Caenorhabditis elegans: one gene and its partner. The protein of the gene in region 2 purifies or fractionates together with the protein of the main gene of each other region. This does not show direct contact. Each region holds a gene or a part of one and is shown on either strand. Other genes may lie near its edges.

Region 1 (5,534 bases), on a different chromosome or scaffold from region 2:
TACGATTTTTAACCTATTTTTCACAAATTTCAAGTTTTTTTTTGTGGGATTTGTGCCAAATTTTTACGAAAATTTGAATTAAAAGTGTAAGAGTCACAATTGATTCAATGGAGCGCATTTGCATCTTGCGGTAGACAGGAAATTTGAATTTGCGAGTGAAAATGCACGATTTTTCATATTTTTCTAGATATTTTCGAGTGTTTTGTCAACTTTTTCCGAACTTTTTTTTTGACATTTGAATTTTTGAGTTTTCTCAGTGGAGCGCACATGCAGCGTACGGACAGAGGGAAATTTGAATTTTTGTGTGAAAAAGTGAGATTTTAACCGAATTTTGCTAATTTTTAGCCGATTTTCGTCGAATTTTCGAACCTTTCTTTGATAATAGCCTGCCTTCCCAACCAAATACACTTTGTAACTTTCGCCTCGGCTCCCTGATACAGTAATCCATCGATTTGATACCCGAATCCCGTCTCAATTGTCGTCTCAAAATCCATTTCGCCTTCCGAGTCGGAGCTTGTCGTCGCCGCTGTCATTTTGAATTTTTTACCTGAAATTTTTATTAAATTTTCCAATTTTTTTTTGGCGGGGAAATGAGAGAAAAAACCGGAAATCAAGTAAGAAACATGAATAACAAACAATAACAAAAACGAAAAATTAAGGAAAAAAATTATCAAAAAAAAATCCAACGAAAAATGACAATGTGCAGAAATTGATGAAGCTCGGCGGCAGTGAATGGGGAGATTTTCTGAAAATTTTGAATTTTTTGAAGGAATTATTATTTAAAAATTAATTTTAGGGATTTTTTGCACTAAAAAAATTTTTTTTTTCTCGATTTTTGGAGCGGGAATATTATTTTTTGTGGAATTTTTTATAAATTTTAGGGTATTTTGATATAAAAATGCGTTTTTCTCGATTTTTTGAGCGAGAAATTCAATTTTTTCGGTCTAATATGTGACTTTTCTAAAAAGAAAAGTTAAATTTTTAAAAATAAATTTTTCCTTAAAACTTTAATTTTTATTCGTTTATCACAGAAAATTCCAATTTTTTTGTCATTTTTCCTAAAATTCGAATTTTCAAATTTTTTTTCAACTTTTTTTTTTGGAAAATTTAAAATTTTATCGTCTTTTCCCCGAAAAATACGCATTTTTATAGAAATAAAAAAATGTTTTTTTAGAAAAATAAATTTCTTATATTTTTTCCCCAGAAAACTGAAGAAAACATTTAATTATTTTTTTCAAATTTTTTTTTCAGAAAATTCAATTTTTTAATATTTTTTCTTGGAAAATTGAAATTGAAATATAGAAAAACTTCTCAAAAATTCAAATTTTTATCGATTTTCTCAAAAAAAAAAATTTTTTTTTTAAAGGTTTTCAAAGAATTTTTATGAAAACTGTGATTTTCAGTTAATTTTCAATTTTTTTTTCCGAAAAATTAAATAATTTCGTACGAATTATGAACGAAAATTAGAATTTTTCAGTTTTCAGTAAAATTGTGAAAAAAAACCAAAATCTCTAGTGATTTTTAGTAAATTTGCAAATATTTAAAATTTTCGATGATCAAAAATTTGAAATTTTTGCAATATTCTTCAGTTTTATGTCAAATTTCTTCGCTTTTTCAGAATTTCCAGTCGAAAATCCTCACATTTCTTCAATTCTTCCACTTCTTCCTCATCCTCATATTCTTCATCACTACCACTCGGCGGTAGATCAATATCCCGGGAATGTTGCTCCCGTTCCTTATCGATTCTCTCCAAATACTCATTTTGTGCTCGAATCACGTCTTCCGGTGTATCACAAGCCGCGTAGAGATCTAAAAGCTCTTTGTTGAGCTCAATAAAGTGATCTCCCCAGGAGAAGGGCTTCATGAGGCGGCTTGCGGCCTCCTGGAAGCCTAAAATGTAGAGACCGGCGGCCATCGCCTCGGCACATGTTAGATGACATGGTTTTCCGTAGTTGACTGAATTGGCTGCCACCAAATATGGAAGAAGACGGTGCTCCGGGGCTTTTACTCTGGAAAAATTGCAAGTTTTTTAGGGGAAAATGAAAATTTGGGCAGAGGTTCCCCCTACGCGTGACTAAATGTGAACTACTGATAGTCGCAGGTGTTAATAATGGTATTTTTGGTAAAAAAAATAACATAATTAACATCTAGATTATCGATAGATCACATTTGCCACAGAAAATTTCATGTTTTGCGAATTTTCGATTTTTTTCAGAAAAATTTAATAAAGTTATGGGGTTATTCAAGTAATGTCGGAAAATTAAAAAGTGTTGATAAATTACGTCACAACTGTATTCAAGTATATAAAAACATGTATTTAAATACATTTTGCTACACTACTTGAATCACCCCATAACTTTATTAAATTTAGTTTTTTTTTCAAAATTTTTGAGTTTTATTCAAATGTTCTATTTGAGTATAGCCATTACCAATTTTTCATCATATTTGATAAAAAATCGTGGGCCCCACCATGAAAACTACAGTAACCCAGACAATTTCGTGGCGAGACCCGAAACTTGAAATTTCTAACTTTTTAGCCATTTTTTTTTGTTGCAGTTTTTTGAAAATAAAATCGAGAATGTTTAATAAAGGATAATATTTTACAATAAATCCTTTTTGTATGAGAAGATAATGGCTTTAATAATACATTATTAAGTTTCCTAAGTTGTTGAGGTGGAGTAATGAAATTTTGGGCAGAGGTTCCCCCTACGCGTGACTAAATGTGAACTACTGATAGTCATAGATGTTAATCATGTTATTTTTAGTAAAAATAACATTATTAACACCTAGATTATCAGTAGAGCACATTTGCCACAAGGAATTAAAATTTTAAAATTTTAGATTTTTCAGGCAATTTTTTTTGTGGTTTTTATTTTTGAAAAAAATTGAGATTTTTCAGAGCTTAAAGCAAGCAATAAAATTTCATGTAGATTTACGGGAGGAGACTTGTGTGAATTTACGAGAACATCATGTGGATTTACGCACGGTTTTTGTGTGGATTTACGGGGGATTCTAACATTTAAATTTAGAAATTCTGAATTTCTCAGGTTTTTATTTAAAATTTGAAATTTTTCACTGAGAAATTGAGAAAAATCCTCAAAAATGCTGATTTTGAAGCGACTTTCCACTGAAAATATTTGAAAATGGATTTTTTAAAAATGTTTCGTCGAAAATTTTTTTTTATAACAGATTTCCAGAATTCTAAAATTTTCCAGATTTTCCTCGATTTAATGCGTTTTCCCGCACCTATGCAACGGAGTTCTCTCGACTTCCTTCCATGAGCAATCCACAACGCAGAGCCCATTCTGTTCGACAAATGGACGGTCTCGCGGAGCCAATGTGTACGTTCCGGTTGGACTGAGCACTAATCCGGGAAATCGTTGCCCGAGCTTCACTTCTGTGATCAAATTCGCACGAAGAAGCTTTCTCCCGGAGCATCGCTTCGGATCGCACTGATTAAAATCGTACATCGCCAGACGAAATGGGAATTTGTAGTCTTCTTCCGGCTCGTCGTCAGAGTCTTCTGAGCCCGGCTCCGATGTGGATTCATCTTCGATATCCTCTTCTTCCTCTTCTGTCTCAACTTCTTCCTCCACATTTCGCTCTTTCGGCGGTTTATCCGCTCTTCGTGGCTTCACAACTCGATGTTTTCCTTTTCCCATTGCAAAATTCCGACAATCTGGAAGAAACATATTTTTAATTGTTACCATCTTTTCGATTATTTACACAAAAAAACACCTTCAAATATAGAAAAATCAAGAAAAAAAATGGTAAAAACTGAATATAAATAAAATAGAAACAACGAAGCTCCGAAATCCCGATGGCGCGTGTTGTTTAGCGGACCACCGAGTTTCGGAGATTTTCTTTTGAGAATCGATATTTCCTGGTGAAATACCTAAATTTAAATCAAAATTTAGTTTAAAAAACCAATTTTTCAAAAAAAAATTCATTAAAACCACTAAAAACCCCTATTTCACAACGATTTCCGATAAAATTCAAAACAACAACACTCCGAAATAACGAAATAACGTACCCGCGCCCAGTTTAACCGGCAAGTTTTTTGGGCGGAAGTTTGAACAAGAATATTGAAAATTGAACAACTTCGGGGGAAAAATAGAGCAACAAATACGATAAAAATAGCGAAAAAATCGATAAATCAACACAAATAATTATTGAGATCAATCGACGCTCCACTCATCGCAACGAAATTCACTTTTCCGGCCTCTTCCATCGCGAAGACCACGTTTTCGAGCTCGGCGAGCTCCGAAATTTTCAGCGGTGGTCCGGTGGCGCTGAAAAAGCGGAAAATTTGAAAATTTCTCCTTTCCCGGGTTAAAAAAAGGCCGGGAATTTCAAATTTTTTGGTTAAAAATTCGAAAATGCTCACCTATAACAAATTAGTGAGAACAACGGCCGAGCTGGTAGCCGATGGGAGAAAGAGGCTGGCGAAAACACGTGAAAATCCACATTTTCTACAGTAATCCGCTCTCGGCGGAGCTCGGCGTGCGACGGTGGGCGTAATCTGAAAATTACAGGAAAATTGGAGCATTTTTTTTAGAAATTTCCTAGAATCTACTTTTTAAGCCTCCTCAAAACCGTCTCCTGTCGGGCCTGCTCGGCCTGAAATCGGAATTCCTGCCAATTTGTCACATGGTGATCTACAAATGGCCAGTAAGACGGCGGTCGGCACGGCGGTCGATTGGGTGTGGGCGGCTGAAATTTTTGAATTTTTTGATTTGGCGCCACCAAAATTTCGGCGGGATTTCGGAGTGTCGTACTAACTTTTAGATTCTGTAAAATCGTGGAAGTTTGGATGGATTCGAGCATTTCCAAGGGAAGAAAGTTGACGAGCGCCGGCGATGTGTGGAGTACTGTAAGAGAATTGTGTGGATTTACGGGGGATTATTGTAGAATTACGGGAGCTTATTGTAGATTTACGGGGGATGATTGTGAAGATTTACGGAAGCATTTTGTAGTTTTACGGGGGTTAATGTAGATTTACGGAGGCTCATTGTGTAGATTTACGAGGGATTACTGTAGATTTACGGAGTTTTGTGTAGATTTACGGGGGATTACTGTAAATTTACGGGGTATTACTGTAAATTTACGGGGTATTACTGTAGATTTACGGGAGCTTATTGTAGATTTACGGGGGATGATTGTGAAGATTTACGGAAGCATTTTTTAGTTTTACGGGGGTTAATGTAGATTTACGGAGGCTCATTGTGTAGATTTACGAGGGATTACTGTAGATTTACGGATTTTTGTGTAGATTTACGGGGGATTACTGTAAATTTACGGGGTATTACTGTAAATTTACGGGGTATTACTGTAGATTTACGGGAGCTTATTGTAGATTTACGGGGGATGATTGTGAAGATTTACGGAAGCATTTTGTAGTTTTACGGGGGTTAATGTAGATTTACGGAGGCTCATTGTGTAGATTTACGAGGGATTACTGTAGATTTACGGAGTTTTGTGTAGATTTACGGGGGATTACTGTAAATTTACGGGGTATTACTGTAAATTTACGG
Region 2 (5,581 bases):
TGCTTCGCAACGTAGTTTGCTGACACTCACCCTCACTGTTTCTGGTTCTCATTGCATTTAAAACGGGCATTTTTGCTATTTTCTGAGTGCAATGTGTGTATGTATGTATGTCTAAGGTCAGAACAAAAACTCAATGAAAATGAGGACTGTCAATCATCTGACTGGTTTTTGTGGAACAATATTGAAAAAAGTAGTGGAGAATTTTGGACGATGGAGTTTTGAAAATTATGAGCTTGGACAGGAAAAAACGTTTTGCAATGAGCAACTAGACATGTGACCTACAAGATAAAATTTCCGGAAATTCATATATATACATATATATATATATGTGTGGGCATATTACAAAACAATAAAAAATTTTACTAAATACGATGCTAAAACCAAAAATATATAGATCCTTGGCATCCGAGGCAAAACATCCTAAATCACTGCAGAGTTGAACGCTTTTTACAACAAACATTTAATTATTTCATTTGTTCTTTATTATATATTAGGGTCACTTGTAGCATAAAACAATGCCGTATTGAAATTCCAAAAAAGTTTATTTTGAACGAAAACATTGTGTCTAACTAGAAGAAACTACCAAGCGGCAACCATTAAAATGTCATGAAAAGAAGTGTTTAAGGTGTGATAACAATACGTGAAAAATAAGAATAGGTAGATCAAAAACGTGATTTTTTTACAGCTCCTTTCTAGACTTCTTTCCCTTTGGAGTTGGTGGTGGTGCTGGTGGCTCTGGCTCATCATCATCATCATCTGAAATTATTTTTTATAGATTTTTAGTTGAAAAAGTTATTCACCATCAAGAGAAATAGATCCGGAAAGAATCTGATCGATCCATGATTGGAGAGCCTCGAAGTTGGAGTCGGAGTGTTTCTTTGGATCATCCAAATTCACTTGAGACATATCGAACCAGATTCCTTCTTTCTGAAATATACATTCTATTAATTGACAAATAAAATAGAGTCTGCTACCTCAGAAATATCAATAAGTCCGATTTGAGGTCCTTCCTCAATATCGATTCCGAACATATCCTCCCACACATCAACCATAAGTGGGAACTCATCAGGGTCGACAAGAATGATTTCCAGGGTTCCAGCGTGCTCGGAGTTCTCATCGGCGATCTTGTCAAGGAGCCTCTTCATGGCTCTTCCCTCACGGGTTTCCTCGTCAACGAATGCCAAGATCATTCTCTCCTCCTCTTCGGGATCTCTCTGGAGCACGATTATTTTTTTCTAGCAAGGATATAAACTTTACATACCCAAAGGTTGAAGTAATTGTCAAGGGTGAGTTTTTGCATAACTGGCTCCTTGTTCTTCTCAACCCAGTCTTCGAATTCTTCCTCGGTATCAGCGGAAGTTGGGGCGAAAAGTGGATCTTCCTCAAATGGTCTGCGCATTTGGACCTCTCCGACTCTCTTTAGTCCGACTTTGCGTGCCCACTAAAAATACATTTATTAAAGAATATCGATTTTAAGTTATTTTTTTTCAAGTACCATATTTGATATTTAAGCGTGAAAATTGGGGTACATATAATAATTCAAAAATGAAAAATCAACATCTATTATACTTTTTCATAATACATTTTTGAAAAAAAATGCTCTCAACACTTACTTTAGATGTCACAACTGCGAAGAATTCGATCTCTCCCATAAAGTCTTCAGCGGCTTCCTCGAACTCCTTGAGAGCTGAAATTCTTTTAAAATTTATGCATGACAGCTTGTTCACATTCCGTACCAACTGATCCTGGCTCAAAGTATCCAATAATTCTGACACATTCGTCATCCATATTTTCAAACTCTTCCAAGTCATGTTCATCATTGATAATAGTCACTGGATCGTCTGGGATCTTAAATTGAAAAATAATTTATGGAATTAGCAAAAACTTAATAAATAACGTACATCCATCAGCCATGAAACAAAAGTTTCTGGATCACGAACACCATTGTACTCGATCTTGTAACCATCCTTGTACACGTGAATAGTGTCCTCTCCCTTTTCAACTTCTGAAATTTTGAATCAAGAATTAATGAAGAATTAGAAGGTTAACCAATTCTTAAATGTTTTTTTATTTAAATTAAGTTTCCACAAGTTTTGTGAAGCTTCGACAACATAAAATGATTAATTGGTAAAAATAATATTCGATTATGGTCCATTCTCGGAAACGTCACACTACGTGCTAAATGTTAAATTTTCCGTGAATTTCAAATTCTGAACTTTTATAAAAATATTTTATAAATCAAATTAACAAAAAAAGTAAAATTTGACACCTGTAGCAGCCACTATGAATGAGATCGTGACGAGACCCACTTTAAAAAATCAATTCATGACTTTAAACGGACATTTCAAAATTTCGTAGCATTACAATGTGGGTACATATAAATGAGATATGCACCAACTTACGAAAAAGAAATGTACAATCTTGCCAAAAAAGATATGTACCAACTTTCAAGAAATGGAAAAATATGAGGTAAAACATCATATTTCTATTTTTACTTTTGGCATAGAACAATTAATTTTTAGCAATACGTACGTTTCAATAATTATAACCATGTAATACAAATATTGAATTTTTTGAAAACATGACACAAAAATATGGAATATTTTTTAAGTTTTTGTGGAACAGCAAATGTTTACCTTCCTGCTTCCTCAAGCGATGTTCTTTGGTGGTGTTGACAGTGTAAAAGTTGTATCCTCTCTTGGTCATAATTTGAGCAGACAACTAAAATTCATAAATTAAAAATAAACTATCAAATTTTGAATTTCACCTGAAGGAAGCACTCATACTGGTCAAGCTCTGAGTCGTCCTCTTCCACGTCGTTGAAGAACACTACCGATTTGGTGTCTTCAGCGAAAACAGTTCTGTTGAAGTTCTTCTCGGTCAGAACCTGCAATTATTGATTTTTTTTTGTTGAGTGAAGATGAATATCTGTTGCAGTGTAATATGATAGGTTGGTTCGAAAACCCCGGATGTCGAAAATTTTGTTATAGGTCAAGTTTTGCTAGAATGACGCAATTGTTTACTGACATTGTGAAGTTAAATTAATGTCTTGTTATTGAGTAATTTAAGTTAAAGAATTAAATGAAAAATGATGATCAAGATAGTCGAGAACAATTGTTCTCAAAATTTTTTAGTTTTGAACTATAGGAACTAACTATAGGAATCTATAGTCTGCTTAGAAGTTGTTTTTATTTAATTATTGATAATTTTAAACTCAAATATTATCGAAAAATACGATCGCACAATTTTCTCATAATTTATTTTTGATCTACCTTGTTGACGAGGCTCCTCCCCTTCCTTCGACAAGACAGCCACAACAAAATAACAACGGCGACAAGATTGGGGGCGGAGACAACAGGTAGATCAAAAGTAAATTATGAGAAATGTGTGCGATCGTATTTTTTCGATAATACTAATGAATAATGTTTCAAAAAAATTTTTTAAAAAAATCGCTTCTAACCAAATAACTATTAACTATACCTTCTAGTTAGTGGATAAATTGTTGAAAAATCTAGAAACTTGTTCAGTTTTGGTATTTTGGTAATTTTGGATTCTAAAAAGTTGATTGACTCTAAAATAATATTTTTATTGGCAAATTTGAACGGAAAAAAAGCCTAAGAAGGAAAAAGAAAAAAAGCCTGAAAGTTCACTGGCAATTCTCGCCAACTCTTGCCAACTAAAATTGACAAAATTGACAAAATTCTCATTTATTTCTATGTACATTCATTTTTGATTTGTAAAAAAAAAAACAAAATCGGTAGTTTTGCAGATTTTCAGAAAAGATTTGCAGAATGGACAAAATAGACATTATAAATCCTATATCCAAATAACTCACCTCAGTTCTGTCGAATCCGTCGTATTCGAGATCTGGATATCCTAAGAACATGCATTCCAAGTCTTCGTTTTTGGAGATGCCTGCACTTGCAAGCACAACCACTAGCGCAAGGCTAGCAAGTTTGATCCAAGTCATTCTAAAGACAACGCAACTTATTTTTTGCTGTAGAAAAAAGCGAGAGATAAAAGGAAGGAAGGATGTGCATGGAGATCTTTTCAAAAAAAGAAGACAAAAAAGTGACACGAAACAAGGATAGAAAAGTCAAAGGGTATAGTGTGTGGAAAAGGTCCGCGCTAGCTGTTGGCGGCTGCTGCATTGGCACTGATGTTCTTCTCTTTGATCGCTATTCTTACACAATTCCACTGCCATCCGCGGGGCCCCGCCAGCTTTCGTTGTAAAGGGGGGAGCTGAGAATAAGCTTGATACCGAGGTAGCGAAACGAGCACAGCAGGAAGCTCCTGAGGCGCCTTTTCCTCCGGTGACTGATTGACTTTACACTATATATTTGTCGAGATGAAAACAAAAACTACGTGAAAGAAGATGAAGAAGCTGAAGGAGTGTGGGCGAGATTGGAGGTGAGGCAACAGTGTTTGTGGGGGCAATTGGAAGAGTTCATATCTCTAATAAATCAATAACGTGAGGGGAACATGCAACTTTCCAACTTTTTTCATAGCTGGCAACTTGAAAATAACCGTACAAGCATTCAAGTAGATGTTTGCATAGGAGAAAAACACATGAAACATGATATCATTCCTCACACTGTCTACTTTGAAAATTTAAATACACTTAATAAAATCGCGCAGCCGACATTCACTGAGACTCGCGTCGAACCACAGTAAATCCGTTTAGGGCGTTACATAGAATCCATCAAAAGTTTACCACCAAAAACACTTTATTCTCATATTTAGGCTTAGGAATTACCACTTTAAAATGTTATTGAGGATCGAAAATAGTGTAACAATAGTAAAGAAACATAAGTGTTTGAGTTACAACTTTTCGGGGTTCAGCTACTGTAAATTAATTAACTGAGTTCTGGATTAAATATTTAGTTTCGAAGTGTCTCTAAATTTCGGAATAAAATTGTTTTAAAAATATGTTTCAATTATAATTCGAACACGGAAAAATTGTTATACTGAAGGATATCTTCAAATTAGAGGGAATTAACAGAACAGAACAAAGGTAACATGATTTCCAAGTAACAGCTCATATTTCGGTGCCAACATTTTTTTGCACCGAAACATTTGTTTTTAAATCAACTTTTCGCAAAAAAAAAGTGTTCCTCATCTGCCCACACATCTGGCAAAGAATATCTATAGCATTCGGCTTTCAAAAACCAAACGGCAGTCTTCATCATAACCAACCGACTGACGTCACTGCTCGAAATAATTTTTCATCTTCGACGTAGAAATTTGCGAAATGAAATCAATCGGTACCGCTAACTAATACTGCCATTCGCCCTACTCCTCATCTTGCTCAATAAATCGGCAAACATATCACCCTCTACCCGCTTGGTAGGGGGGCACATTTATCCGAATTTATTTGCGTCTGCGATCACTCAAGCCAACACACCACACAAAAACTTGATTTTTCAAGGATTGATCAGTAAATCAGCGATCGGGGTAGTATTATGGGATTTGCATTTCGTTTGTGGAATTAGTGAATTGACGTGGCAAGGAAGAATCTGGTAAAGCAAACGTTTTATGTGGTATCGTTGAGAATCTGGATTTGGAAATTGAAAAATAAAAT

What was found. Proteins that work in one complex are often made in the same cells at the same time.
Region 1: the proteins of csq-1 (region 2) and F52C12.2 fractionate together in Caenorhabditis elegans (co-fractionation; one large-scale study listed by BioGRID). This does not show direct contact.

The regions. Positions count from the first base shown.
Region 1 is NC_003282.8:1,951,724-1,957,257, reverse strand, and holds F52C12.2 (18S rRNA aminocarboxypropyltransferase), read right to left. Parts: upstream 3,680-5,534; 5' UTR 3,663-3,679; coding exon 3,247-3,662; intron 2,010-3,246; coding exon 1,642-2,009; intron 746-1,641; coding exon 744-745; 3' UTR 549-743; downstream 1-548. Other genes in the region: F52C12.6 (non-specific serine/threonine protein kinase), read right to left, coding at 370-533; tsen-54 (tRNA-splicing endonuclease subunit Sen54 N-terminal domain-containing protein), read right to left, coding at 4,157-4,292, 4,388-4,522, 4,577-4,713, 4,783-4,871.
Region 2 is NC_003284.9:14,683,267-14,688,847, reverse strand, and holds csq-1 (Calsequestrin), read right to left. Parts: upstream 3,972-5,581; 5' UTR 3,971-3,971; coding exon 3,836-3,970; intron 2,888-3,835; coding exon 2,768-2,887; intron 2,722-2,767; coding exon 2,637-2,721; intron 2,006-2,636; coding exon 1,902-2,005; intron 1,849-1,901; coding exon 1,737-1,848; intron 1,688-1,736; coding exon 1,614-1,687; intron 1,442-1,613; coding exon 1,262-1,441; intron 1,215-1,261; coding exon 975-1,214; intron 928-974; coding exon 801-927; intron 757-800; coding exon 680-756; 3' UTR 526-679; downstream 1-525.